Linked DNA regions of Mus musculus: all the other regions are reported to be linked to region 2. Evidence: microRNA targets listed by miRTarBase, many of them from high-throughput screens and not tested one by one. Region 2 holds a microRNA gene; each other region holds the end of a gene's coding sequence.

Region 1 (4,287 bases), not on the chromosome of region 2:
GGAGTGGGAGCGTCTATTATCCATCTGATGGGACTCTCAGCCCAGGTGCCCACTGTGGAGCAGCCTCTGTGCTGAGCCACAGCTTTGCTGGGAGCCAGTGGCTGCTGGAGGAGCTGTTTAAACAAGCCAGCCAGATAGAGGATTGAGTAGTTTGCATGTAAAATCATTTTGTATAGTCCAATCTGGAGCACACCTCCTGCCTCCTTCAGGTCTGTGGTCTGGAGCAATGGCAGTACCTGTGGAATACATTCACACACACACCCCTCCAAGAATAATCTCTGAGGTTAATTATGAACGTAGAGTTAAAGAGGCATTGCCAGGAGTAATGAGAGGAAAACGCACATCACCACAGGCAGATTTTTCTCAACTCAATTTCTAAATTGAATCTTTTTTTTTTTTTACAGGCTGCAAAATACAAGCTGGCAGCTCTGCCTGTGGCAGGTGCACTCATCGGAGGAGTGGTAGGGGGTCCCATCGGCCTCCTCGCAGGCTTCAAAGTGGCAGGAATTGCAGCTGCACTTGGTGGTGGGGTGTTAGGCTTCACAGGTGGAAAATTGATACAAAGAAGGAAACAGAAAATGATGGAGAAGCTCACTTCCAGCTGTCCAGATCTCCCTAGCCAAAGTGACAAAAAACGCAGTTAAAGCCCAAGCTTCCAGCTGCTGCTGTGCACCGAGCTAAGGAGCAGTTGCTGTTGCTGGAAGTGTTAGGAAGTGGCTCTCCCTGTCCATGCAGTGTTGAACCACCATGAGTGGATGTGTTTGTTAGCTGGGTGTTAATGGAGATTTTAGAGGTGGAGGAGCCTGGCCAGAGGGTGTCTGTCAGGTCAAGTTTAAAGACTGCCAAAGAGCAAAGGTTAGGCCTGGAAATGTGAAAACTGGATCCATAACTAAGGATCTAAGAAGTGTAGACATGTAGTGGACACCTGAGGTCAGTGTATTTGTCAATTATTTCTTCCTATAGGGAGGAACAGAATTCGAGTTCAGGAGTCTCTGTCAGGTAGGGATGTTGCCGCTCAACAGGGGGCACGGGTGAACTACTTGTGGACTTGAGGGCTGTTGTACTTAGACCCATCTGTATTTTCTGGGGAAGGAAATTAACACTATAAAATAGAAAGAGAAGCCCATTTTCTCTTTACAGTTTCTTCATTGTGACATGGGTGTTTTTTCTGAAGTCTTTCCTGCCTCTCCAGATAAGGAGCACAAAACCTCAATGCTAGACCTACTAAACCAGCCACCAAGCCCATTTCCAGCTGGTGATTCAGATAACTGTCTATTCTACTCTTCTGATTCCTACCCATGTTATAAGGATTTTCCTCATAATCTGCCTTTTTATATAGTTTTCCACTTCTAGCTACCCCTACCTGTAATCTCTACAATCTCTTTAGTTGAAAAAAGAAAATTTAAATATTTCCAACGTTATTTAGGTTAAGGGGAGTGAGTACAAGATCATATCACAGGGCACTTTAGAAGGGGCTGGCATACCTGCTGCCTCCAGGGATTGCCGCCCCTCAGTCTTCTTGGGCGTCCAAGAAGGAGCTTTCTACCTCACATCTGTCACTGCTGCCCTTTCCCAGGCCGTCTCCCCTCCTGCCGCTGTCCTCGCAGTGGTCACGCTTAACCTCTCTCACATTCTAGATGGGAAAACTCATGATTCAGACCCAAGGAAAGATCTGTGGTGCTAACCCAACAGTTGGCATGCACAGCAGGCATGTCCACTTCAACTCCGTGTCTCTCTCAAAACAGAAAGGTTTGAGATTCAGAAGAAAGGAATAGGAAGAAGCCACTGGTCCCGCAACTCTCATCTCTTCCTGAGAAGAGTGCACCAGCAGCCAGAGCACAGGGTCAGGGGCCGAAGGGTTACCTCTTAGCTTCTTTTAAGTGCTGAGTTGATGTTTGGCCTCTGTGGGTTGCTACCTTTCCCTCTGTGTTATAACTTCCTTCCTTCCCTTCAATGCTTTGTGAGTCTTACCAGTGCATCCCTATGAAACAAAGAACTACACCGTATTAAAAGATCGGAAAGTATTGAGTATTTATTTCTTATCCGCTGTCTTAAGACTTTAATAACAAACAAAATTTGAATAATTTTCGGATCCTGAAATATTGCCAAACACACTGGGCATTAAGTAATTACTTTTATTGTCATCCTTTGTTCTCTGGTTCTTGCTGCTCCTTTAAGATAGCATGTCAAACCTGAGCAGGGGGCATTCAGAATGCATCCAGATTTTACTTCAAATAAGATTCCTTTTTGTTTTGTTTTATTTTTCAAGATGTTTTCTCTGTATAGTCCTGACCTAGCTGTCCTGGAACTCTCTCTGTAGACCAGGCTGGCCTTGAACTCAGAGATCCATCTGTCTCTGCCTCCGGAGTGCTGGGATTAAAGGTGTGTTGCCATACCCAGCTAAAACAAGATTCTTGAACTTTGGCCCCGGGGAAATTCCGATACAGCCAGTCCATCCTGATTAGCTAGTATTGTGAGGATAAGAAGTGTTGTTTAATTCTTTAGTCTCCCATGGTCTACTTCATCTTCCTCATTACTTAATACTCAATTCCATGAATCCCCAAAGTGCCATCAGTAAGTGCCATAACAGCCTCAGCACATGGAAGCCAAAGAAACAGGGCTGAGGCTTGGATATGAAGCTCGCACCCTTGGGACCGCGCATCTTCGCTGAGCCAGTGTGGGAATGTGGGAACCATCGGCATGTTAATGAACCATCAGTATTGGGCTTTTGACTCTAGCCACCGTAATGGTTAAGGAAGTTACAGTCCTCTTTAAAATTTCATTATACTTTAAAGTTATTGAGAAATTGTTTTTCATTTCTCCACAATAGAATCCAATAGCCAACTTTTTGTGGAAATTTCTTAGAAGTGTTTAATCAACTATAAATGATATAAAAGTACTTAAACGTATAAATTAGTCAATATGACACAGAAATGATCTTAAAATTGAATTTAATATGCCCCATAGTGTCTAGTTAAATTTATCATCTCTATGATTTATGTCTTATTTTTATTTCAACTAGTTAAAAAGAATCATTTTAATGTCTTAAAATTTGTAGAGACTTCATATTAGTATAGGCAGTCCCCCTAAAGACTTTTTGATGTTATAATCTGATAATTCCTCTGAAATTTTGATGTAGCCCACAGTAAAAAACGTATTAGGATTGAACGTGTATCCATGAAAAATGTTTACCATTGTGTGCAGTACATTCTGATGTTCTGTTTCTTCAACATGCTAACTTCAACCCACAAAACCAGTCTCAGTCTACAAATGGATTACCACCCTCAGTTTTCAGAAAACACCCTTCCCTAAGGAAGAACTGGTGTTTCCCAAGCAGTTTGCCAGTTATTTATGGAAAGGGTAACCGGGCCTCAGAGGAATTAAGTAATTTGCAGTCTTTCCATTCATTCCAAGGGCAGGAAGCCTGGATGGAATGGGTTCTGCTGAGCCACACTCTGCCATGCTGTGCTGCCTCCCTGAAGCTCAGAGACTTGTAAGGCCAGCAGGGGACAACCCATGCTGTCCGTTTACTTCTTTGTCTTCTGGCCTCATCGGGTGTCCACAGCCTGTTCTTAATTGTGGCCATGCATAGAACACAGAGCTTAAGTATAAAATGAACACTGCTATCCCACCCTATCCTCTACACATTGGTTCATATCATAGGCTATGATCACTGTTCAAAATGTTTTATATAATTAAAAGTAAACACTACTTTTAAACAAATCTCTCATAGCATTTAGAATCAATTAATCATTATGCTTTAAATGATGCCCCCGGGAAGCCAGGCACAAACGGTGGGGGGCAGGCAATAGCCTATTTCTGAACATCTGCTTTTGGATTGCCATCAAAAACAAAATTGCATGTTAAATAAGAAAAGCCACATCCAGTGTGTCGGCCTCAGACTGGTTTCCCATACCTTGTGACCCAATTCTCTCCCCATCTCAATTCTGTGTCTTCTGTTGGCTTACTCCTACCTCACACACAGGAGCCTAGAATGAAGCATACTGAAGCTGCCTAGAACTCGCCAGACCTCTGGAGCACGGACTGGGGTTTACCCGAAACTCCTACCTAGCCACAGCTGTCCTGCCTGTCCACCTTCCGTGTTCATGTCTTCTGCAGAGTGAGGACTGGAAGCTGGTAACACCTACTGATAACAAGAAGTTTGGAAACACAACTACAAATCTCTAGCACACAGTATTTCCTTCCAGTAAAAGTCCAGAAGCCAAACCTTTTGAGTTGTTAGAAAACAAAGGCATTTCTCAAGAATGCCTCAGAAGCCCTTCACTG
Region 2 (4,287 bases):
CTACAGGATAAAGAGAGGTAAAAAGGTGACAATTTATCATCCACCATCGATGTTCCAAAGGACAGCAGGGAGGAGACAATGGGGCATGCCACGGAGTGTCTGAGTGTCCACTCCTGTGTCTCTAGCTGCCAACTCCTATACAGCCATCAAGACCCAGCTCAGATAGCCCCTACTTTGGGAAGCCATCCCTGTTGCTCTCAGAGAGTACTCAGAGAGTCCCTCTGGGTACTCTCAACCCTGGGGCTAGCACAGTATCAGATCTTTGGAAATGGCTGGCTAAGTTTGAGAGGTCTGGTAGCTGAGGGTGGATATAGAGGGGCTCTAGGGGTGTTTGGTCTGCCTAGGTGCGTCAATGGAGGTGTGTGGATATGCAGAGTTGAGGCAGATTGGGTTCAGGACGGGAGCTGGGACTCGGGGGATTCATTATGGGGAGAAGGCCAGGACATCAGGGTCAAGGTATCCACCCACGAGGGAGGCCTTTGGTGTCTGGTCAGGTAAGACTAGGACTTTACCTTCCTAAGCTAACACTAGCTGAGGGCTGACCCTCACCCCACTACCACCACCTGAATGAAGGCTTGGGGTCCCTGGAAGAAGGGTATATGACCATTTGGCCCAAGATTAGAAAGCTACATCCACAGCCGTCCCAATACTGTCCCAAGGGAGGCAGGCACGAAGGGACAATAGGCCAGGAATTTCTCAGATCTGGTTAGGACCACAGGCTGAGGGACACTGGAAGCCAGTACTGTGCTCTGAGACTTGGAGTCATAGGGTCTGTTGTTCCACTCATGTGGAGGGGCTTGGGTGTCCAGGGCTTGGGCCACTAAGGGGCACATGGAAGATGAGGGGAGGGTACTGTTCACTACCCAGAGCAGCTCTTGCTGGCAATGTTTCATGCATGCAAACGTGTCAATGTGTGGTTGGCGATCTCATGTCCTCTACGGCCAGTCTCCGTATTTCCAAAATGACCAAAGACCAGTTGTAAGTTCATGACAGAACATCCTTTATTTATACCCAGGTCCCACGTCATAGCCCCCACCCAATCTGTGGCTCCATTTAGCTTGCTGAGCGGGGGCCTCCATGTAGCTGTGTCCCTGGGCGCCTCAGGGAAGGCAGTAGGTTGTATAGTTATCTTCGGAGGGGCAACATCACTGCCCTGAAACCACACAACCTACTACCTCACCCTGCGGTGTCCGTGTTCTGGAGGAGGCCCAGCCGCTCCCCACCCACCCTGGCCACAGGCCACTAGAGCCATAGGGCACAGGGCGGGGTGGGGGAGGGGGAAGTGGAGACAGAGGTTCAGTGAGAAAGGCCTGTGCCTACCAAACAGATTGAGGAAGCCTCTGGTGTCTGAACCCATTGCCCCAGGGACAGGGGACAGTGGCCTACACGGTCCATCTGCAGGCTGTACTCATGGGTGTGCTAAGAATGGCTCCTTTTCAATTTCTTCTCGGAAGAGACGCTTGCTCGTCAGAGGCCTGACCCTGCGCTGGAAAGCCTGGGCAACTCTGGAACATAGTTGAAGGTCTAGTCCAGACCCTCTTTTCATGGAGACCTGTGAGCACAGGTCTGATATGGGGCCAGGGGCAGGAAGGCCCCTTCAGTGTGGGCCAGGGAGAGAAGGTGCCCTGAAAATGCTGTCTGTTTTCATCGCTATGCCCCAACCCTTATACAGATGAGTAACAGCCCAGAGAGGTCAAGGGACTATCCAAGGTCTCTGTCAGGCTCTTTTTGCATGGTAGTTATCACCCCCCTGTCCCTCCCTCAGTCTCCCCAGCCAGGGCCGCCGTTGTATCCACTGCAGATATTGCGGCCACTTCAGGAAAGACAGTAGATTGTATAGTTACCGCAGAGCGGGGCAGAGCCCAAAACCATACAACCTACTACCTCACCCCAAAGGCCGTCAGTCAGTCTTGGCGTAGAGCTGGATGTTGTGGCTTCTTGAGGTCCCTCCTAGAGGAAGAAGGAGAGCTGGGGACATGGTGAGCCCCACCCCCCACCCCCGACACAGGCCGCTCAGTGCTGAGGGTATTAATAGACTGGGATTTTCTCAAAATGGGCCAGGGACATTTAAACAAAATCACAGAGAGAGTAAGGGGAGACGGGGAGACGGGGAAACGGGGAGAAGAGAGAGAAAGCACGGGGCACTGAGCACAGGAATGGCCACAATGGGGGAAGGGTGTCATTTGTTAAAGGCCACCAAGGTCCAGGGTGCTTCCAGTGTCCACCTGGCTGAGACCCAGCCTCTGTCCACTCAACTCTAGCGTAGTAGAATCACCAGGACTCCTGCTAAGTAGTAGCCTTGGGCATGTACCCTCTTCCCCTTAGGCAGGAAGAGCCCCCCCCTCGTGGGCTCTGGTTCTGTCCCTCCCTCTTCTCAGGGTGGCCTGAGCTGACCTTGCTGGGGGAGGCTCAAAACAGTCTTTCCTTGTGGGAGGCAGCCTAACTCCCCATGGTGGCCAGCCGGGCGCAAGTGCAGACCCTGGCTGGACACTCATGGCCAGTCTGTCCCTAACGACTAGCACTTCCAGAGGCCAGCAGAGATCGCTGAAGAAACTGAGGCTCAGTCTCTGGTCTCAGGTAGCTCTGCTCTCAGAAGGGAAAAAGACCTGCTTCTTTCAGGCCTCAGACCGGTTTGCCCAGCATGTGGAGGGAAGCCCTGTGCCCAGACCTAGGAAGCCAGGCAGCTTTTGCTCTCTGCATGAGCCCTAGCGTCTACTGTCACGCCTCCTTTCCTCTCTGCCAAGGGTCAAGGGACAAGTCCAAAACTCCTGGGTCAAAATGAAGCCGTTAGGTCTAAGTCCACATTGTGGCCCCAGATCCGGAGTCTATGGGGCAGAGGAGCTTAGGAACAAGGTTCCCAGAGCGCTGGTGTGGCCTGGCCCGTGGTGGGCAGGCCTGTGATGATAGGAAACACTAATCTTCCAAGCCCCAGAAGGAAATCTGAGCCACTGGGGTGCCATCCCCTGCCTCAAGCCTGGACCCTTTCACTAACAGGCAGGTCAAATACCCTCAAGGATGGTCCCTGCAGAGGCAGCAAGGCAGAAGAGGCGTGGGAAGAGAGTGGTGAAGGGCCCCTTTGGTGATCCTATCTATGATGGGTGGCCCAGGTGAGAAGGCTGAGGGGTGTCCCACACTGCTTAGCCTCTCTGTAGGCTTGACTGGCCATGGTTAATCTCGTCGGTTCTTAGGCTGTGCCCGGATGTGGTGGAATAGCTAGAGACCACATTGGTCATCTCCATCTGAGCCCAGCACCTCCCTCCCCCTCTCCGCCCCCAGAAGCACTTTGAAGGAGGAAAGAGGTCAGACATCAACCCCAGGTCTCTCAACACTTCGGGTTCTGCCCTTGGCTGTCAGGATACAAGTACGTGGGCAGGTCTGGCTGGAAGGTCGAGACTGGCCCCTCTGACTCTGGGCACCATCATGCATTTCCGTGGGGTCCTTTTGGCTGGCCCCTGGGGATTCTCAGCCACTCTACTTAGCAGCAGGAGGCCGGTGTATGCCACTGTGTCAGCCCCAAAGCGCCTTTTCTGCACTTGGTGAGCCTCCCTGAATCTGGGCTTCATTGCAACAGAAGCCTTGCAGAGCCCAAGCTATGGTAGAGAAACACCAGGACACAAGCACCCTAGTTCTAGCAAGGACAGTGGGCCACCACGCACTGTGCCTTAGCCCAACACGGGAACAGATGTGCCTCTGTCTCCCTCATCTGGCCTTTCTCTAGGCAAGACCTTCTGGCAGATCCTCCATTGATACCAAGTGGCCTGGCCTGGGGGAAGCAGGATCACACTGGGGGGATTAAGTGATGGTGCCCGGGGTACAGAGAAAAGAGAGGGACCTCATGCTGAGGTCCCCAGAGGTCTCTCAGGGCTCGGTGACCTTGTCCTCAGGTTGGGAGGCTACGTCTCTTCCACTTGGAGCTGGTGATGAATGGAACTGCACCTCTGTTAAGCCATGCCCAGTCTAAGTAGGCCGATACGGGGTCAAAAGTCACCATATCATATCATGGGTAGATGTGTCATCTGGGGTAGATTGCTGGGGGGTGGGGTGGGGCACAATACTGAGGGCAGGGGTTGGGGGGAGCACAAAGCCTCTAGGTAAAGACATCTAAGCTGAGGGCAGGTCCTGGAGCACTGGCAGGGATGTGCCTCTGACCCTAGCCTTCCTTACTCTCAAGTCTCCCTACTTTCCAGAGGAAGGACATTGGGGCCCTACTTACCACAGGGAAGCCATAGGCATGCAGAACTTCCTGCTTGGTTCCACTTCCTGACCACCTTGGGGGTTAGAAACAAA
Region 3 (4,287 bases), not on the chromosome of region 2:
AAAATGGAGTTGTACATAATCTTCCACAACAAGGGTGTTGTGCTTGCCCTGTAACTGCATGGCGTGAAACAGGAGCAGCGGTTTGCTATTGATGAGAGGTCAGGTGTATCATAACCAAGCCGTGGCTTTCTGAGATGGCTGAATACAAATCTCCTTAAATTGTATGAAGTTGAATGTCAGAGGCACAGCCTGATTGTCAGACTTACAGGAGGACACTAGGAATGGTAGGAATGCATTGTCGTCTGAAGGATGAACTGACATGTATGTGTGTTATACTTTTCTTTCTGAAGGAAGTTGAAATTCGAAATAAAGACCTGGAGGGGCAGCTGTCTGACCTAGAACAGCGCCTGGAGAAGAGCCAGAACGAACAAGAGGCTTTCCGCAGTAACCTGAAGACACTCCTAGAAATTCTGGATGGAAAAATATTTGAACTAACAGAATTACGAGATAATTTGGCCAAGCTACTGGAATGCAGCTAAAGAGAGTGAAATTTCAGTGCCAATAGATGGAGAGATGCTGTCTGTCTTCCTAGGACTGTTTGGGCTCCGTACCAAGATTGCACAAAATTTTTTGAATATCATTCCTCCAGGAGGAGGGTGTTTTGAAAATTGGAATTGTATATTTCAGTATAAATTTTAGAATTTAGCTTATAGCTAGTTGGGGAAAAAAAAAGACATGAAAAACTTGAACTACAAATTACCTCCATGTATATTGGCCATAGTTAACTGGAAAGTTATAAGTAGACACTTTAATGCAATCTTTTCCCCCTGATATTAGCCAATGGGAGAATTAACAATGTCTGGGTCCCTTCTCCTCTTTTGTTCAACACAGTGAAGATTATATGCTTTTTAAATTTATTTATGATATCTACAGCTGTGTTTTGTGCAAAAACTTAGTAATGGAAGCCCTGTCTTTGTTGTTATCTGAATAATTTCTCAGGATAATTTTTCGCTGCTGAGAAAGGGCCATTACCAATTAATCCTTGCCAGGAGTTGGGGAGCTATGCCTCTAAGTGAAACTCACTATCAACGGGTGTCTGGAGTTCTTCCCTTTTTGTACTGAGAGTGTTTTCACTCTAGTGACTACTCTGGTACACTCTGCTATCTCCAATCTTGTCTGTTATATAGTTTACTTTTCCATATTGATTCCATGTATTTATGAGAGGATACTGTCTCCCAGTTTATTATACATTTTAAAGCCAACTAAACAAAGGCAGCTGAGTCCCTCAGATATTTTTCTTTTTAAATTTATAGTAAATTTGACACACAGAACTGAAATACAGCAGTCCGTCCTTGACGGTTTAGTCTAGCAATGTTAAGTATATTTACAGAAAATATGCAGTTACATTTATTTATATATTTGGCAAGAAATCTTTTCTGAGTGATCAATGCATTTCAATTTATGAAAAATAATGGTTAGGGGGCACTGTTTATTATAGATAATTTTAAGGTATATAACTGTTTTCAAGGACGGCCACTTCCACCTAGCGGTCAAGCCGAGAGGACTGCATCTAAATTGTGACTGTGGCAGATGGGTCTTCACAGAAACCATGTCTTTATTCAAACTTCACAAGGCTATATTTTGAACTGTTAACTAGGCATTTCAAAACAGGAGATACCTTCAACAGACTCTTCTCCAAGAGCAGGTTTTACTGTTTTTTTGATGTAATTTTAAGACATTTAGCAAACATGCATTTCTTTATATGATACATTTCTTTCACAAAACAATTTAAAAGTAAGCCAAGTGCTGCCTGCTCTGCGAGTAGGAACTGCATCAGAATCGTGTATCTTGCTGTACAATGCCTGTGATAGTGAAGAGGGTTCTTCTTAGTGTATGCTTGGGTACCTAACTCTGGAGTCAATGAATGCACCCAATTTTTTTTGTTTGTACCCCAAATGATTGAATTGTTAAATACAAATTAAGCAGATTAACCCATCTTTCTCACTCAAACAGATTCTTTAGTATGTTTTATATTTATGTGTATGTATGTCAATACATACATACTAATTTATATTAGAATGAAAATAAATCGTTTGTTTCTAAAGGTAGTTTCTACAGTAAGGTGTCTCTGACACATGTGTATCAGACACTGGACCACCATGTATTCTCTGTGCTATTCCATCCTGCCTGTCACCTCCATCAACCTTAGGGTATTTCCCTCACCTGTCTATTATAGAAGGAATCTTTTGGGTACACATGCTCAGAGATGAGATACTTCTCTGAGAAATCAGGTAATAAAATTTATTTGATGGATAGAATTTTGAAAACATATGATTTTATCTATGAGTTTCTGAATATCAAAGAATACCACGTTTTCATTTAAATAGAGGACTAACACTAGGGATCAGGGAATTTAGTTATGAAGAGTTTCAAAAAAAATCCAAAAAAAAAAAAAAAAAAAAAAACAGTGTAAGCTGTTGATATGGTAAGCGAATTATTTTAATGATGTAATAAAATATTTTTAAATTTTGGCATAGTGATCATTTAATGGGAAAATAACTCACCAAAATGTCTCCACTTGAATTGTACTGATAATGTGAGGCATATGTGTAATTCAATATATACATATACCTATATGTATATACAGAAATTATTTTTAATATTTTCCTACTGCTGTGAAATTTAAAATTGGAAAATTTTGTGAGTGTTTTCCATGTCCAATAGAGCCTAATTGTTTCTTTTTTTAGTAACTTAACAATCTCTTGAGGGCTGCACCTATAAATTCCCAGCTTGTCAGTAGACATGTACAGTGTTTGGGATAAGGTGGACACAAGTGCACATATAAATAAAACCTTCTTCTTGACTATTTTAAACCTTCACTCACATGAGGAGAGCCTCTAGAAATCATAGCCTCTGAGCTATAGGTACGTCACTCACACAAGGAGAGCCTCCAGAACTCATCGCCTCTGAGCTATAGGTTGTGTGCCTACTGTAGCTTTTCCACCGCTGTATTATATAGACATTTGCATATTAAAATTTGATTTTTCCCAGAGATAAATATTATATAGTGTATCTATATTTAGATCAAACTGTGGTAATATATTGATCAGAACATAGTGTTGGGGACTATAGCCTGAACATGTGGACTTGCAGTGACCCAGGAGGAGAGCAGGGGTCAGTCCCATCTGTGTATAAGTTATTATAACTATGAAATCTTGTACAAAAGCAAAAACTGGAAAAAAAACAAAAATACAGTTTTTATTTTGAAATACATTTGTTCTCTGGAGAATGTACTTGATCGTCTCCTCAGTCTTCTAAGGCTACTTAAGCGTTTAAGGGACGGCAGCGTTTACTTCAACCCTACAGGTGCTACTGGATTCTGCATTAGTATGTGATGTTTTAAAATCCTAACTTTGACATAAAAGGTTTTATAAGTATTTCCCTGCCTGGAAAATTAGTTTTTATTCTTCTTTCTTCATCCCCTTCTCTCGCTCTGCCTCTCTAGACTTAAAAATGAACATTCATGACATTGCATTGCTCCTTGTCCCTAAAGGAACTTTGCAGCACCCTCAGAACTGCGATGCTCTGTTGTCTTTGGACGTTGGGAGCAGTTAGGGGAGGAGCTTGTCGCTTGTCTTTTCAGGTGACTCTGAAATGGTAAGCTACCACATGACCTTTAAGAAGCCATTGCTTTCCTCTGTTAAGATTGCATTATCCTTCAGCAGGTAAGCCTCCACCTTCTGTGCTGTTGTTTGCCTTTGGAATGTGGTTTAGGCTGCATCTCTGGATGCTGGGACTCGAGTAGGAGGCAGGCCGTGGGAACACTTGTGAGTTATTTTTCTGAGCCTTGCATATGATGAATACCAAATAATTTTAACATTTGAAATTTTGTTCTTAAAGACCAAATAGACTTCGTTGATCTTTTGTCTCCTGTGTGCATTAACATAAACTTTTAGGATTCATGAAGTAAATTAACATCATTTCTTTTTCTTTCATGGTGCTTGGGGTCAAAGCCAGGCAGGACCTAGCACATGCTAGGCAAGTACTGTGTCACTGAGCTACTTCCCAGCCCTATATAAACTCACAAAGAAGAAAAATTTCAGGTAAGAAATAGTTGAGTTTGAAACATTCTTTTAAATCTTTAATAGGATACACGCTATATGACTACTAGTAGTATTTGTTAAGAATTATTTTTTTAAAAATTTAGACTCACTCATTCTGTTGTCCTCAAAACAACAACAAAAATATGTTTTAAACTGGCCATCAGTACTCCCACTTTTAATCCCAGCATTGAGAAAGCTGAGGCAGGAGGACTGAGAGTTGAAAACTATCCCGGGCTGTATACAG
Region 4 (4,287 bases), not on the chromosome of region 2:
CATTCATATTTGGACACTCGTGAAACAGGAACTCCACCCAAGTCATACAAAGCACCAGGCAACAGCCCCTGATCCTGGCTAGTCATGGCTGCTTTCCTACAGTGGCAGCAGCTTCTAGCCTCCCTCCAGTCTTCTTCCCATGTTCGTAAGAATTTTAAGATGTCTGCCCAAAGATTCATTCCTGCTTCCTATCAGCTCTTGGTCCTGGGCAAGTCCTTACAGACTGTGACCAAGCACAAGAACAGACCCTCTGAGACTTAACACCAAAACATCTCAACAACGACCCCAGCAAGCCTTCATGTGGTGGGTCCATGACTTGACTTTGGCTAAAGGGAACTCTCAACCTCCTTTCCTGGGTTGTGTCTGTGGTGGCCCCAATTCATGGAAAACTCAGAGTGGAGAGACAGAGAGAAGCCATGGAGAAACAGTGGTTATGCATCACTTCTGTGACTGACAGACTAACCAAGGGACACTCTCTAACCAGATTACATGCAATATTCTATTCCCTTCTTCCAAAAAAAAAAAAAAAGCTCAACAATGCAGAAATAAACAGAATTATCCTATCCATGAGCACACAGGCACACACATGTGCAAACAGCCATTCGCTAACATGAGGCCTTGTAACTCACTACAACTAATAGGTACTATCAAGGGACATAAGTTAGGCAAAACCCTACAGTCACACAGACGTACAAGCAAGGCCAGGAACCAGAATTCTGCTCTGCTTTCCTGGATGTGACTGGAACAAGGTACTTACACTGAGCCCCTGGAAAGCAGGGCACACAAGGAGCTGCGGATGGTGGCAATGTTACATGGCAGTGCCTGGCAACAGGACACATTCCAAGAGAAACCCACTTTCCTTCCTCACTGTGGGCTCTGACTGAAGCCATCCCTGAGTCGGTTCTACCCAAGTCCCCATGATTTCCCCCACGGCATCCTGCCATGACTACAAACCTTTCCCAAAAGCCAGACTCAAGGCCTTAGAGATGGCTCAGGGGTATGCACTGTTCTTGCAGCGGGCCCAAGTTTGGTTCCCACATCCTAACACCCATACCACCCAGCTCACAACTACCTGCAACTCCAGGCCAGTCTCCAATACCCTTTTCTGACTTCTGCAGGCACCAACATTCATGTGTACATATTCATACACAGAAACACAAATACAATTTTTATTTTGTTTTGTTTTTTGACAGTATCTGTGTAGCTCTAGCTCTCCTGAAACTCACTAGGCTTAAACTCAAGAGATCTGCCTGCCTCTGCCTCTCAGTGTTGGGATTAAAGGAGTGTGCCACCATACCTAAGATATATAAATATAGCTTAAATATATTAAATAGTTTTAAGCCAAACTCCAACTTGTCCTATGTGCCCAAGATAAAGCAAAGATACTAACTGAAACTGGCTTAGCTCATTCGTCACTTAAAAGATCACATTTAGTAATCTAGTGGAAAAATCTTTCATTTTAATTCACTCTTTCATCAAAATGTATCTCTAGGCTGCCCATTGGTGCCTACCAGGTATTTTGTTTTTCTCTATCAGAAGAAAAACTTCACATTGGCATTCAAATACCCTAGTTCCGGCACAGGTGTCAAAGCCTGTGAAACCAACAGGAAATGTGTATGTGAAGTGGAGCAAACAGGTGTTTCTGAAATTGTTTATCCACACCACACTAATTGTTTGTTTTGAAAACTGACTATCGAATTTCTTATCTCATTCTGCACAAAAGTTGCTGACAAACCGATTAAAAAATAATAACTCCTAATACCAACAGCCGAGGGAGAATGCCTTTCTTCCTTTGCTTGCTTGTTTGTTTTTTAGACAGGGTTTCCCTGTATAGCCCTGGCTAACCTGGAATTCACTGAGACCAGGCTAGCCTAGAACTAATAGATACACCTGCCTAGGCTGTGATTAAAGGCATGTACCAGCACACTGGGCTGGATAATGTCCGTTTAAACCTCAGACCTGGCTAGCTTTTATTCCGAGACTTGATTAAGCAAGAATCTGGACACCAACACATGTATGTAACAGAGTTCCAACTTCAAAGCAGAAGGTAAACTGAAAAGCTAGCTGACTGCTAAGTATCGTGCAGTTAGCATGGGAGGAACCAGGGCTCACTGCACCGGGATGTGTGACAGGATGGACTCGTAAGGCCTTGTCAACCATCACTGAACTGGCCACGGCCTGCCATCCTCTGGGAAGTTTTTTCTAGGCACTCAGCTCTTTACTAGGCAGTTTATCTAAACTAGAGACTCGGGGAAGCGAGAAAATTCCAGTCTCTTCTAATGCTTAATTCCCATACAACCCAACAGAGCAGCTGGGAGTGAACAGGCCTGTGCTCAGCAATACTGCCCTCACCCAGACAGAGAAAACTAACTCCGCAGCAAAGGTAGGACACGCGAGACCTTGTTCACTAAAGGAGATCGTCTGTCAGAAACAGCAGGAGCGTTTGCCTAGGCTGTCTCGGGTTCCTGGAAGGATCCCACGCATCGAACATAAACTGAGCAAAACTGATTCCCATGAGTGCAAACTCGGCAGAGAAGACAAAGGATCCAAATGGCACAGTAACGTTTATTTCAACCTTCGAACAGCACAAAGTGACAGCTTCTGATACCAAATCATACAAGGGTCATCGGAGGAACAAAACGATATTCACATAAAGAAAACATTCAAACAACAAAAAGTAAGTGCTTCACATCTCAGACAGTGCTGTGCACTGCCAGCAGGCGCTTCCGCTTCCACCGGGGGCTTCCAACAGCAGCAGGAGCAAAGCCAAGCCAGGATCCAAGAGAAGGTGCATTCTCGCTCACCTGGAGTTTGTACCCACGTCACTACAGCCCCGCTGCTCCATTCACAATTCCCTACACCTGATCTTAAAATGTAACTAAGATTTGGGAGTGGTAACAATGAAAACACAAGAGTGTCACAAGAAAGTAAACAGTAAACAAGGTTTCCCATAAGGCATCAGGAGACCTGCACCAGCTTAGAAAAACGTTCTTTCTCAGCAAACCCAAAACTTCAGAAGGTTAACCAGCAGGTCCAGTCAAAGCTTTCAGAGACAGTCCTGATCTCTTATTTTTATTTATACGTTTTTTTTGTTTTTGGTAAGGTTTCATATAAAACATAAAATCAAGTTCTATTTTATAAAAAAACTGAATATTTTAATAGTAAAAATATATATATATTTAAATTTCTTTTTAAAAAGACACATAGCAATACTTCATAAGACTGGATTTGACTACCCCCACCCACCCACCCATGCCAGCCGTCCACTCTGGCACTGTGGACAGCTACATGAAGGTACATTAAGGCAAAGGCTCCTGGTGAGGCGTGTCCACTGTGCCTGGGCTGGAGACTCAAGGTGAGGACCCTGCTCCTCTCAGGGCTAGAAGGGCTTCTCCCGCACGTTCACTGAGCCATCCTGCATCCCAAAGTAGACTCTCTCTGCCATGTTGATGAAAAGGCCTGTGTCCACCACGCCTGTAGAATGAAGAATAGGTGCGTTAAAGTCCAGCTTCCCAGAACAAAGCAAGCATCAAGTGTTCCCAGGAGCAAATATCACAAGCCAGCAGCGGACAAAACACAATCTGAAAGAAACCGGGGTTTTCTTTGTTCCTTGCTGGCAGCTCTTCCGTCTACTACATCATGGCTTGCTCTGTGTTCCCAAATGTGCCAGCTTCATCCCAGCCCAGACCCTCTGCTCACGCTGCTCCCCTCGCCTGCGGCTCATCCTCCTCAGTGTCAAGGTCGGCTCCTCTTCATCCCCCCATGTGCCTGCTATAGAGACCCTCCAAGGCTATATCACTCCTCCCAGGTATGGTCAGTCAACTGCCATCCTTGAAAGGCTTCCTCCAAGTGGGAGATGTTCACAAAGCATACACCTGACAAAGGAGTCACATCAGAATACAGTTCCTAAGCCACTAAGTAAGTGACAACAGAAAAAGGAGCACAAGACCTAAACAAGTACTTCTTAAAAAAAGCAAAGCATTGAAGCTCACTAGTGACAGGGATGAACGACTGACACTCAGTCACCACGATGAGTAAGGGCAGGCGACCAGAATGTGGAGGCACAGACAGGAATATCCCTGAAGCCTGCTGGCCATCGCCCAGCTCCTGGTTCAATGAGAGACTCTGACTCAAAGAAGAGAGGACACATCTGGCTTCTGCACATACATACATGGGTGTACACACATGTGCTTGCATGCACTCATGTACACATGCACACACACGGTAGCATGACTATATCACCATGCTGTTTGCACACACATACTAACAGTGGAATGCTTAGCAATG
Region 5 (4,275 bases), not on the chromosome of region 2:
GGACCAGTGTGCCGACGCGTCCATCGGTAACGTGACCGGCTCCAATGCGGTGAACGTGTTCCTGGGCCTGGGTGTGGCCTGGTCGGTGGCAGCGGTATACTGGGCGGTGCAGGGTCGCCCCTTCGAGGTGCGTGCAGGCACGCTGGCCTTCTCGGTCACGCTGTTCACCGTCTTCGCCTTCGTGTGCATCGCAGTGCTGTTGTACCGGCGCCGGCCGCAGATTGGCGGCGAGCTGGGCGGCCCGCGGGGACCCAAGCTGGCCACCACCGCTCTCTTCCTGGGCCTCTGGTTCCTCTACATTCTCTTCTCCAGCCTGGAGGCTTACTGCCACATCCGGGGCTTCTAGGGCCCTAGCCACCGCCCTGAGGGTGGGGACTTGGTGGCATTTGCTCTTGGACCCACCAGTCTCTCTACCCAGACTCAGCCTGGGCGCTCCCTAGGCTCTTCCTCCTCAGCCTTCTTCCTGGGATCAGCCTCCCTTTCCCCCTGGAATCCCATCCTTTGCCCTCCCTTCTCAGCTGCATCCCCTTCAGCCCATCCTTTGTGAGGTAAACCCGAGTCCCCTGGCCAGACACTACTTCTCGGTCTTTCTGGGCACCGAGCCTGATTCTGTCTTCTCGTGTCCCTCCCTCAAGCCACGAACTTCCACCTGTGCGCCCAGGTCTTAGAACATCTCCCTAGGTACCTCAGAGGGAGGCTGTGCCATCCCAGGACGCCATCCATCTCTGCCCTTAACCACCCCAACCCTCAGGGAGCTCCCTTGCAGTCCCCAGGGAAAGGAATAGGGGTTTGTGCGGGGAGCAGGGAGAAAGGCACGCACCTTCCCTGATTTATCCACTCAGAGGCTTGGAGATGGAGGAGGGACGTTTGGAGTATCTGTCCCCCAGGCTTAGCCAGAGGAGGCACATCTTGAACCCACTACTTCTGACATTCCAGCGCCCTACTCACCCTCCACTACCTCTGAGAGCCTAGCCACGCCTTGGAGGGAGGAGCCTGTGTGTGTATATAGTGTGTTTGGGGAGGGGGGACACGGGAGGGTGCATGTCTTGGGGAAAGGGGCGTTGACAGACTTTCCCTTCTGAGAGGGCAGCAGGACTCACTCAGCCTGAGAACCAGCTTAGTGGATGAGACTGAGACTCAAAGGGAGCCCACCTGACCTCCCCTGACAGTATTCTAGAAGGGTTAACGAAAGTACTCTAGTCTAGAAGGTTTATTTTGCTCTCAGTGCCAGCCAATCTGGGCAGGACCCTCGAAGAGGAGACCGAGGGTCCCAGAGGACCAATGCTACAAGCCAGCAAATGCTGCCACATCTCTGCCTGTTGGGGGGCGGGGGTGGAGGGGAGGGTGGGAGGGGGGCTGGGTGGGCATTTTTAACTTTGCAGGCCATACATCTGTTGGTAGGCCACCTGCATTTTCTTACTGTTGATGTCTCCTGCCCCAAAAAAGACATCCTTGGGGAACGGGGAGTGCTGCCCACTCCTTGCGACCTTAGGTGACCCTGCCACCCTCACAGCCTTCTGCTTTCCCTAAGTTATTATTTTTGCATTTTCTTGTCCATTTGTGCATCAGACCCATTACCCACGGCCCTTCTCACCCCTTGCTCATCAGCATCACTTGATGTCCCTTCTCTGTGGTTTCTGTAAAAAACTGCCATAAAACTTTGAAATTCTGCCTGAACAGTCCTCCCGTGGGAAGTTGGGGTGCAGGAGGAAAGGGATGGTAGCAGCTCCGACATCTAGACCACAGGAAACAGACCCGGCAGCCTTTGCATTAGAGTTGGCCAGACAGCAGGACACCAGCATACGCTAACCACATTCAATGTTACCAGAGCCTCCACCAGCCACAACCATAACTAAAAGCCATAGGCTTCTGGTACCACGCCTTACCCATTAGCCAAGAGCATCTACTAGTTTCACCCCTGCCCATTAGCCATTGGTTTCTAGTACTGATGTTCCACCCATCAATCATGAGCCTCCACTAGCCACGCCCCTGCCAAGCAGCCATAGGTTTCTAGTACCATGCCCCACCCATCAACCAAGAACCTAGCCCTGGTTGCCACGCCCCTCACAGTCCTGAGCTTCTGCTGGCCACACCCCACTCACCAGCCACAAATGGTTCCTCTTCATAGGATATTGTGGGATTGCAAAAGAGAAGGACTCTAATTTGCCTGAGCCAGAGGGAGCTGAGGTTGATGAAGTTTCCTAAATAAAATAGGTCACTTTCTCAGAATCATGCATGGAACAGGAGGTGTGTGTGTGTGTGTGTGTGTGTGTGTGTGTGTGTGTGTGTGTGTGTGTGTGTGTGTGTGTGTGTTTTCATAAGGGTGGATTATTCTAGGGAATGAGTACAAAGTTAATGTGTACAGACGTGTGAGGCAGTGGCTTTTTCAGAGTGGGACAAAGGATGAGCAGAAACGAAAGACGCGCTTCCTGCATGGAGTGGGGAGCAGAGAGACCTTCAGAGGACCAAGTGTAAAAGCCGGTAATAGCCACACAAGGAGGCTTAAGATTTAAGAGCAAAGGGCTGCTTCAGAAGAAATTTAGAAGGAGCAGGCCAGCAGATGATGTCAGCTGATTTATATAATTTTTTTGTTTTGTGTGTATGTGTACTTTGATTGTGTACGTATGTTCATCATGTGCGTGTAGTGTCTGCGAAGGCCAGAAGGGGGCTTTGGATACCCAGAACAAGGCAATCGTGGGCCACGCAATGGATACTGGGAACTGTACCCTGCCGGGTCAATGTTCTTAATCTCCAAGCCGTCTGTCTCTCCAGCTCCTGATTTATAATTTTAAGCATTCCTCATAGACTCCTGTGATATCAGCGACTTCCTGTGATATCAGAGGTTGGAAATCAGGAACTCAGGCAGGAGAAGAGGAGTGGAGGCTGGACTGGGTGTTGGAAATCAGGTCACAGATCAAGCCAGTGAGAAGGCACAGGAAGACCTATCGGCTGGAAAGAGGTGGTGACTGAGGGGGAATTTAGGGAAAAGACCTTAAAGTGACTCGGGTAGGGACAGGGAAGGTGCCCATGCCACCACAGGGCTGGGTACAAAGGAAGCAGCTGCCCTCCCTGGACACAAGATGAGCAGAGGCTGCAGTGGCCCATCGAGCTGCTGTGCTGGGGGTAGCATGAGCAACACAGACACATGGAGTGCCTGAGAGCAGCACTAAAGGATGAGCGAGCACACTAATCTTACCCTCCAGGTCCCACCAGCTCCTGTAGCCACGGGCTCAAGCCAGCGCCTGTCAGTCTAGAATGAAGAGAGCAGGAGAGCACATGGTGGCGGGGGGGGGGGGGGCTGTCAAATGCAGAAGAAACAGGGGAGAGAAGTCTAGGGTGCTGTGGCCCTCAGAAAAGGAAACTGCAGGAGAGGGGGATCTGGGACTTGTCAGCAAGCCAGGACTGGCATAGGCTGCCCGGGGGAAGAACAGAAACAGTGCCTCGGGGTATCTCCAACATTTAAAGTGTGCATGGGTGAGAGAGATGAAGGCAAGGGAGACACCAGAAGAGCAGAGGGAAACCCAGGTGGCAGGCAAGTTTCCAAGATGGCATGCTCATGAGGAAAAATCTGGCGTGACGGATTGGGTGAAGGGCTCAGGGACACTCTAAGATGAAACCATTAGCACAGACCTGCAATCCCAGAACTCAGAAGGCAGAAGCAGGACTGAGTTTCAGGCCAGCCTGAGCTACAGAGTGAGTGAGACCTTACCTCAAAATCACAGTGGGCTGTGACTGCATCTCCTGTGGTAGAGGGCTGGGTTCATATGCATGAAGCCCTGGGGTCAATCCCCCACATCACATAAAATCAGTCATTGTAGTGTGAGCTTGTCTTAGGGCTTCATTGCTGTGAAGAGACACCATGACCAAGGCAATGCTTTTTTTTTTCTTTTTTTTTAATGTTTTTCGAGACAGGGTTTCTCTGTGTAGCTCTGGTTGTCCTGGAACTCACTCTGTAGACCAGGCTGGCCTCGAACTCAGAAATCTGCCTGCCTCTGCCTCCCAAGTGCTGGGATTAAAGGCGCATGCTACCACTGCCTGGCTAAGGCAATTAAAGAAAAAAATATTTAATTTGGGGCTGGCTTGAAGTTTCAGAGGTTCAGTCTGTTATCATGGCAGAAAGCATGGCAGCGTGCAGGCAGCCATGGTGCTGGAGAAAGAGCTGAGAGTTCTACATCCTGATCCCCAGGCAGCAGGAGGGACTAGATGTGTTTCACACTAGGTGTAGCTTGAGCATTTAAGACCTCAAAGCTGGGTCTCCACAGTGACACACTTTCT
Region 6 (4,283 bases), not on the chromosome of region 2:
TTTTACAAAGCAGGAATATTTTATCTTTGTCATATGCATGCCATATAAGTTTTAAAGAAAATCTGGACGGTTTTGTTTCATCTGTTGTTTTTTTTTTTCTTTTTCTTCAAAAGTGCAAAGTCAGAGACTAGACATACTGAAGTTGTTAACGTCTGTACTTTGCTGCACCATGTGTGCCCCAAGTAACTAAAGTTGCAAGTATTGTGAAGGACAGTCTGCGTGCACCCAGATGGCCTTCAGCTTATACTGCTCACCCCGGTCAGACAGACCACCTCTCTTAGGAGTGTGGTGGGCAGCAGCAGTACTCACCTCCTTGAGTGGTACAGCATGTGCCACTGCCATAGCTTCCTCCACTGGAGAGGCAACAGAGGTTACCCCTAGGGTTTGTCTGGTTTTGAACAGGATACTAACGTAGCGTGTCAGTGTTTAGTTGATAGAAAGCAAAGCCTCTGACGCTGTTTCGTTAAGTACTGCTGCTGTGATGCTGACTCAGACTGCAAAGGACAAGAACCCAGTGCCCACAGGGTGATGGTGATGAGCTTCCCTCGGTAGTGTCCTAGCTCATCTAAGGCTTGTTTTATTTGCTTTTTTTTTTACAGACCTAACTACCGTAATGAATGCTGCATATTGAGAGACACCACAAGAAGGTTAACTGTTTGATTGTCTAATTCTTGGATTTGGATTTGATATGAACCAACGGTCTTTGTTGTCATTGACAGAGCCCCAGTATGTGTGTGCATTAGTCACATTCCTCTCTGTTCTGTTGAAGGAAAAAGAGACATTTTAACCCTTTTAAGGTTGACTTTATTTTATGTTATTTGGTTGCATGAAGTTGCCCTTAATCACTAAGAATGATGAAGATTTTGCAGACTTCTCTGTGTCTAGGCTCCTTTTCCAAGTCATCAGCTTCCTGCCTCTCTCCCACCATCATCAGATACTCAGCTAAACAGTAATTCATATTGTTAGGTGACTGCTCAACATAATACTTCAGGATGGGATTTTCTTTGTAGCAGAACCCAAGAACCAACTCCTAGATACATACTGTTGGTGTATTGGAGATGAAGTTAGAGTCATCTTTCAGTTTTAAGGCCATGTGTAAAGTTTAACCATATGTACAATACCTATTCTGTATTAGAAATAGCTAGTTGAAACTTAATACTTCTCAAAACTCATGTTCCTGTGTCCACAAACTAAGTTTATATGTGAACTTACTGAGTCTTTTTGTGTCATACCAAAATAAAGCAAGGACTTATTTTTTTTCCCAAAGCCAATACAATTTGAGCCAATCCCTCAAGATGGTCACTTTACACTGAAAGCTGAGCTCAGCAGGAGCACTGTGGGAAACAAAGCATTGACTCTTGAGTACAGAGTTTAAAATAGACTTTTCTTTTAGAACTAGAATTAGAGTAGTTAACGTTCATCCGCCAACCATTGTTACGTGTGCATTACTGTCGCTCTTGTGGTGATAGAGTCTTATTTATTTTTATGCCAGCTTATACTGTGAGAACTCATTAGTCAGTTTGGGTCTCATCAACCCTGCTATGCTTGTCCTTGGAAGATCTTTTGTGTGTGTTTGAGGTTTGTAGCTGAGAAGTTTACTGTAAAAAAAAAAAATCAAAAACAAAAAAATGTATTGTTTTTACAGAATAAATTTATTGGAATGTGTACTGGGAGTAAGGTTTGAGGTTATAAACAGCCGAGTTAGTGTTATTTGGCTTCATATGTGTAATGTGAAGTATTAATGTGTTTCTTGTATTATAGCAAAGATTGACAGCAAATTGACATTAGAATTAAGTGCAGGTGAAAATTTTATTTTTTCTATCATGTTTCTTTTTAAGTATTCTGGATGTTAGGTTAAGTGAAAGCCGTGGGGGGACAGGAGGGAGCAACAGCAGGAGCTGCAGCAGCAGGGGCTGTCTGCACGTCTGCGACAGCCCAGCTCAGGGGACCCTGCATTTACACACAGCCTTCCGTGCATCCAGTTTGCTTTTGGTGTTCTTACTGTGTTGAAGAACTAATGAACGTGAAGAGAAAATAGAAGAAGACCTAAGAGCCCAGTGTCGTTGTGAAGATGGAGGTGATGTGGGGCTCTGGATGCACTGGTCTACTCACCCCTCCCTCCAGGACATCACTGTCCTTTGGGCTTGCTCCTGCCGGTTAGCAATCAGTGGTCCCCTGTTGTGCTCACGCAGTTCCATGTATGGAAAATTCATTAAGAGACAGGCTGTTAAGTCAGGGTTTTTTCTTTAAAAGGTACTTTTTAATTTTAAATATTTTAGTTTAAAATAATGAAATTTGACAAAAGATCTCTTCATTATCATGCAAAACATATGGAGAATGTAGATAGCATTTTTAAATTGGAACATATAACAAAGGTTTTTTTGTTTGTTTGTTTGTTTGAGGCAGGGTTTCTCTGTGTAGCCCTGATTATCCTGGAACTCACTCTGTAGACCAGGCTAGCCTGGAACTCAAAAGATCAGCCTGTCTCTGAATCCCAAGTGCAAGGATTAAAGGCGTGTGCTACCACTACCTGGCACAGATTTCTTAAATAAAAAGTTCAAAATTTGTCATGAAAATGTATATATAAAATGCTTCAAAATTAATAAAGTTTATCTTCATAAACACCAAAAATAATTTTATTGAAGGTATACACAGTATTGAAGGTATACACAGAAACACAAGAGAAATATTATCAACCAATAAAACAAGTGTTCATTAAGGCAACTAATAAAGTTGATTTGTGTCATCTTAGCTATTCAAATTCACAATAGAAGTTTTGACAGCAATTTTTAAAATGGCAATAAATAATATGCTTTCCTTGTGAAAACACTTGAATCAATTTAAAAATATTGTGATGATCTGGCATTTATATTAAGATTGTCAACAACTCATACATTTCATATGAAGCCATTTCTCCAACCTGCAATTGCTGTTTTGAATTATTTCTTATGCATAGTATGGTTAGTTACTTCTGAATAGTTTCATTTTTATGCTTTTTGTAGGCACTAGAGTTGTAATTTTCACACATACTATGTGCAAACAATGCTAAAATCAATGGTCACATTCATAGACAAATGGTGATATATTTCCTTAAAAAAGCTGTTTCTCAACTTTAATTTTCTTTCAAAACTGAGAATATACCCAGATACTACCCTTAGTTTCACTCACATGTATGCTGCAGAACAAGTGTGTTCTTGTGAGTATTCCTGTATGGAGGGGATAAAGGAGAGCGCCAGTCCCATTAACAGGTCAGAGAGAACTGTGAGGTATGTTTGTTTATTCCAACTTCTCATCTGCCTTAGTTCTTAGGAAGAACTCGGGATTGTAGGTACAACGGTAGGCCAAGAGCTGAGGAAGAACTCCATATGCTATGTTTAGTGCTAGAAAAAAGATTTTCGCTTCTTCGGGGACTCTGTAGACATAAGCAGTTCTAGCATGAAGGGACGCACCAATGTGAGAAAACTGAGCCTGTTTATATTAAAACAAAACAAAAAAACAGTAAGGATGAGCTCTGTTCACTTGGATTAATGATGAATTCTGAGTGTCTCATTCAGACCATGTGCCCTCAAAACCTGTCTTAAAGGCAAAATACCTTTAGGTAATCCAGTCTTAATATATAATCTTTCACTAAATTTAAGGTTGTTCTTGATATAAGTATTCAAATAATGTATCCTTCTTAAAGTGTGATTTTATTATTCCAGTTGTGTATTTTTAACCTATCCTGTGCCAAATAACAAACAATACTGGCTCAATTCAACAACAACAACAACAAAATCTCCCCCTCTTTCTAATTTGAATCTTAGGAACACTAACTATATAGACACTCAGCAAGGTCTCACAAATTGGGTTTGAATTACAAATGAAGTTGGGTTTTAACATTTAAGCTGTAATTAGTATGAGGAGCTACTTTAGAGAGAAGCACTAAGGGTCTCAGACCAACCACTGGATGCCAGAGCTCAGAGACCATCACATGTACTGCTTATTCATCCGTGTGTTTGGTTTTATGTAACTTAATAGCACTATGATTGTTTGTAAGGTAAGCTTGTTAATAGCTTGGCTGTGGATAGCAATATGATTATAAAATGGCAAATATATACACAGGCAGCCTTTCCAAATCAGACTGAAATCTACTTAGAATTGTGACTGGTCAGCATGTTTGAAGTTTCAGAACAGAACAGCAAGGGCTCCCTCTGTTTACATGGGATAGTTTATAAACTATTCAGAATGTGCCAGTTGAATTTTGCTTGGCTCATTTGTTTTTTGTACTTTTCATAAGCACAGAG
Region 7 (4,287 bases), not on the chromosome of region 2:
GAGCAAGTTCCAGGACAATCTGAGCTACACTTGTGGGGCTGGGGGAGTACTATTTGAAAGGAGCACCATGAAGGTAAATGGGTTTGAGAACATCTCTAAGGGTATGTGAATGTGTGGACAGGGAGCTGGACCATGAGGAAGACTGAAGGAGACTGTCCAGGGCGGGATGAGCGATTGACCCTAGCTCACTTTCATTATAGCATGCGTGGTAGCTCCTGCAGCTCCCACCATCCGCTCTGGGCCTCTTCCCACCCCTCCTATGCAGGCACCCCTCCCTCCAGATGAAGTTCCCTGAGCGAGACATGGGCTGTATGAACACTGAGACTTTGTAAAGGAACCCGACATTCAACATAGTAAAGCGGTGGACAGTTTATTTTATTGTCAGAAGCTGGAAAACACTTTCCACCTTGCTGTTAATTTTGCATATGCTAAAGCGGGATCCCCTGGAGGCGGCATTTTCCCTTAGCTCTGCACTAAACAGGCCTACATCTGTGGCAGCCTCCAGGAGGCTGAGGCTGAGTCTAAGGCAGAGTATCATATAGGCAATAATAGGTAAAATTTGTCTGTTAGGTATTTAGTATACAGGAGTCTTGCTAAGTTGCCTAAGCTGACCTTGAACTCCTGGGTTCAAGGAATCCCATGGCTTCAGAAGTCCTGGAATTATCAGCACAGGCCACCATACCTTGAAACTTGAGCCACAGCTCCAATACTGGAGTGAGTAGTGTCAATGTGGAGTGCACTGCACTCTGGGGACGGGTGGTATGGACACACAGAAACGCATCATCTCTGCTGCTGTTCCTCCCCTAGGACTTTCCCTGAGCAATTGCTACTTACATTAAAAAGGAGAAATGAATGGCGTATCCACAGCAGCATTCTCACAACAGAGAATGCAGTCTCAAGTTTGCAGAGTTCCCTATCACACTGCCATCTTACACTCACAGAGACCCATTTCCAGGCAAGTCTGGTGTTCTCTGTTCACAATGTGCTTCCTTTATATTCCATATATATGATTTTCATGTTTCCTAACAGTAGTGTCATACTTTCTAGAGATCTTATAGCATACCCACCATGTAACAGTTTACGTAACTACTAATGAACAGCTGAGACACATACCTTCTATTCCTTAAAAACACAAAAACTCACTTTTGTGAAAAATATTTCAAGATTACTTTCTCAAAAGATCACCAAGCCAAACATTTGGCCATACTTTTATTTACTACATATACTATAAACATATACAATACATGCTACAAAAAAAAAAACATTTTTAAAATTTAACTGTCAAGAAAGTGAATAGTGTTATAATACAATGGCACATGTTCATATTTTATTTCAAATTGGTTTGCTTATCACCCATTTCAAACCATTAATAGTGAAATGTTACTTGTGGAAAATTAAAATTATCTATTTGCATTATTAATAAACATTTTCAACAAATTAATAAGAATTAACCATGTCAAATATTAGTATCCAAAAATGGGCTCTTGCAGAAGTGATTATATAAAACATAGCAGCCAATTTCAGTTTACTTTGCTCTGTGACAATGTACATACGCATCTGACTAGGATTATAGCACTTGCTATTTTTGGAAGATATTTGTAAGAAGTCCTTTGATCTCTTGAGGTCCAATAACTGCTACACCCAGCCAAATCCAACCAAACAGTTCACGTAATGGCTCTGAATAACTAATCACTGAGGAGTTCGTAGGCTTCACGGAGAGCTGCAGATCCCATTCCCACCACATATAGTGAAGAGACAATACAAGCCAGCATCAAAGGCAAAAGAAAATACCAGCATTCAAATCAGTTGTGACGATGATTTTCTAAGAAGTGTTTTCGATGCCATAATTTCAGGAACAGATTCTTTTTTGTTTTTGTTTTTGTTTTTGAAACAAGGTCTCACTTTCTAACTCCTGACTGTTCTGGAAGTAGCTCTGTAGACCAGGTTGGTCTTGAACTCAGAGATCCACTTGCCTTTGTCTCCCAAGGGCTAGGACTAAAGACATTCACCATCACACAAGGCTTAGGGAAACAGGATTGACTGTGCATTTGGATTTACACAATCTATGCTAACTGAAAAGTGAAACAAGCAGTCAGGTGCAGTAAGTCACGTGCTACAAACCTGTCCATTCAGTATCACTGACCACCTATTATGAGCTCAGAACTGGGCCAACATCTCTAAAGTTGAGTATTACTGTTTTTATCAAGCTACAGTGAGGTAAAAAATGTATTAAATTAGCATCAACTCATTAAATCTGCCTGTGGTAATGTATGCCAACTGGCGTCCCTGGGCCATACAACACGCTTCTGCACTCTGCTCATTCTTTCGTACAAAATCTCTACACACGTGCTCAGCAATGTGCTAGTCACTTCAGTCACATGATTTGGTATATGTTCAATGAATGCAAATTCATCATATTAATCTACACAAGACAACTAAGAAGGTAAATTATTTTTCTAAAATGAGGTTCAAAGCAAAGTATAAGGTGTTTCTATTGGTCACCTACACCAGAGACCAGCAAGTGCCTTTATCACCTGAAAGTCTCATGTTACAGTCTAAAGAAACCCTATAATTTGTGGCCTCAGAGGCCTAGTCTCTGGAGCATCTGACCTCGTATAAATCATTCTCTACTTTAAAGGGTTGTAAACTAAATCTGGACAAAGGAGAACCCAAATGAAGGCAATTTATAGTGTAATATACTTCACCAACTATTAAACCATGTAAAATGATACATAAGTAATTTACGACTGGAATAGTTTTCAAAGTATCAATCCTACCCAAATGCATAGAATTCTAACCTGCCTTTTATACAACTTGCACATGATGCAGAGGGCAAAGTTTGGCCCTTGATACCTTCTATAGGATACAGTAAGTGATTGGTCCTTCCACTCCAAGTAGAATCTGAGAACTTTGAGCATCCCATTAGGATACTAGCAATCAGGAAAAATGGCCCTGCCAGATCTGTCCCATCAGTAAGGTGAGTCTTGAGCTGTGGTAGCAGTGTGAACCTACGATGCCCCCTTGGGGGAAGGCAGAGAGCTGGGAGTTTATCCACTGAGTGAATCCAATACTGGCTTAAAGCTATGCACTGAATAAAGTGCTCTGTACATCCTGCTTCTCATCTGGAATGAAGATATACATTATCCTAAGAATCAAGCCACTTATAGGTACAGGGGAGGAGAGTAACAAGGAAAGAATCCAAGAAAAATCCAAGGAAGACAAATGCCTCTAGTAGTGTTCTCAGAATCCTCAGGATTTGAAATGTCAGAATGAGTCATACAATGGTCATGGTCCATAAATGCAAATGCAACCCCACTGGGTAATATTCACACAGTGCATGATTACGTCATGGGAGTGGGGAACAGTCTGCTGCCACTTGACAGTATGGATTCAGGATGAAAACAGAACCTCTGAAGAAATCAGGGTCAGCAGTGAGTAACATTCTTTTCCTGCCCATCAGCTTTCCACAGGTTGATCTGTTTTGCCCAAAAGAAAGGAGGCAATGTATTTACGTCTTCTCATACAGGCACGGCAACTACCACCTAAAACTGCCAACTCAGAAGTTAACCACATAAGCCCTCCGGTTTCGTACCCTGAATATGGTAAATACAAGTGAGAATGGAGTAGTTCAGTCTTAAAAAAGATCCCAGGTAACAGAATGCTTATATAAACTAGACTGCTTTGACACCTGTAAGAAAATTGTATAGATGGCAATTGGGGGGAAACAGATTGTTCCATCTGTCAGCAAACTGTCGAGCTATACTCAGCTGAAGTCCTCATCGGGATTCTGTTGATCCAGCAGACGGACATGTGTGAATGGGAAGTGACCTCGTTTGCCATTACACTCCCCTTCCCACTGACCACTCACATTAATCTTCGTAACCTTTACCAGCTCACCGACCTGCAGGACGAGAATAAGGAGAGTACTTTATTTCCAGTTAAGAATGCAAGGTGAAAATCTCCATTCTCTGTTAGGCACACCCTGCCCACGTGATTGCTCTAGGGCTGATGTTATAGAAATGGCTACTCACTACCTCCCCAGCCCCAGCCACCAGACTGGTTAACTTGTGGTTAATGCAGGCAAAAAGAAGGAGTGGTGTTAGCAATGAAGAAAGACACTGAGAATACAGAAAGTAAGAAGGACCCTAGAAGATGATACTCTCTGCAAACCTCAGCATGTCTAGATGAGCTAATAGTCTCCTCTGTTCTACGATCCTCAGCCGCCCCCACCACACCCCACATCATCTGACTTAGGGGATTCAAAGCCTAGCCCTCCTTGGCAGATGT

The links. Region 2 holds the annotated microRNA mmu-let-7b-5p (UGAGGUAGUAGGUUGUGUGGUU, at 1,158-1,179, opposite strand). A microRNA usually pairs through its seed, bases 2 to 8, with sites in the 3' UTR of a target mRNA and lowers its output. Matches are read on the target gene's strand: a 7mer-m8 pairs with bases 2 to 8, a 7mer-A1 pairs with bases 2 to 7 and ends in A, and an 8mer does both.
Region 1: the mRNA of Stx17 is a reported target of mmu-let-7b-5p. Seed matches in the 3' UTR shown: 8mer at 1,543-1,550 and 8mer at 3,971-3,978.
Region 3: the mRNA of Homer1 is a reported target of mmu-let-7b-5p. The part of its 3' UTR that is shown has no 7-base or 8-base seed match.
Region 4: miRTarBase lists Rpia as a target of mmu-let-7b-5p. The part of its 3' UTR that is shown has no 7-base or 8-base seed match.
Region 5: miRTarBase lists Slc8a2 as a target of mmu-let-7b-5p. Seed matches in the 3' UTR shown: 7mer-A1 at 683-689 and 7mer-m8 at 955-961.
Region 6: miRTarBase lists Hdgfl3 as a target of mmu-let-7b-5p. The part of its 3' UTR that is shown has no 7-base or 8-base seed match.
Region 7: the mRNA of Crk is a reported target of mmu-let-7b-5p. Seed matches in the 3' UTR shown: 7mer-A1 at 2,214-2,220.

The regions. Positions count from the first base shown.
Region 1 is chr4:48,181,095-48,185,381 of GRCm38, forward strand. It overlaps Stx17 (syntaxin 17), which reads left to right. Exons shown (of 8, transcript NM_026343.2): 8 at 405-4,287. The coding sequence ends at 644. Among named protein-coding and RNA genes, the nearest start is that of Mir1958, 30 kb to the right of the region's middle.
Region 2 is chr15:85,704,217-85,708,503 of GRCm38, reverse strand. Mirlet7b (microRNA let7b) reads right to left here and starts at 1,185; the gene lies at 1,101-1,185. It overlaps Lncppara (long noncoding RNA near Ppara), which reads right to left. Exons shown (of 2, transcript NR_110483.1): 1 at 4,214-4,287; 2 at 980-1,950. Mirlet7c-2 (microRNA let7c-2) reads right to left here and starts at 1,901; the gene lies at 1,807-1,901.
Region 3 is chr13:93,401,751-93,406,037 of GRCm38, forward strand. It overlaps Homer1 (homer scaffolding protein 1), which reads left to right. Exons shown (of 10, transcript NM_147176.4): 10 at 291-3,379. The coding sequence ends at 479. Among named protein-coding and RNA genes, the nearest start is that of Gm6109, 45 kb to the right of the region's middle.
Region 4 is chr6:70,763,175-70,767,461 of GRCm38, forward strand. It overlaps Rpia (ribose 5-phosphate isomerase A), which reads right to left. Exons shown (of 9, transcript NM_009075.2): 9 at 2,546-3,474. The coding sequence ends at 3,380. Among named protein-coding and RNA genes, the nearest start is that of Rpia, 27 kb to the right of the region's middle.
Region 5 is chr7:16,158,835-16,163,109 of GRCm38, forward strand. It overlaps Slc8a2 (solute carrier family 8 (sodium/calcium exchanger), member 2), which reads left to right. Exons shown (of 10, transcript NM_148946.3): 10 at 1-1,677. The coding sequence ends at 346. Among named protein-coding and RNA genes, the nearest start is that of Meis3, 14 kb to the right of the region's middle.
Region 6 is chr7:81,882,400-81,886,682 of GRCm38, reverse strand. It overlaps Hdgfl3 (HDGF like 3), which reads left to right. Exons shown (of 6, transcript NM_013886.4): 6 at 600-4,283. The coding sequence ends at 605. Tm6sf1 (transmembrane 6 superfamily member 1) reads right to left here. Exons shown (of 10, transcript NM_145375.4): 10 at 2,604-3,468. The coding sequence ends at 3,277. Among named protein-coding and RNA genes, the nearest start is that of Tm6sf1, 26 kb to the right of the region's middle.
Region 7 is chr11:75,702,980-75,707,266 of GRCm38, reverse strand. It overlaps Crk (v-crk avian sarcoma virus CT10 oncogene homolog), which reads right to left. Exons shown (of 3, transcript NM_133656.5): 3 at 1-3,901. The coding sequence ends at 3,764. Among named protein-coding and RNA genes, the nearest start is that of Crk, 26 kb to the right of the region's middle.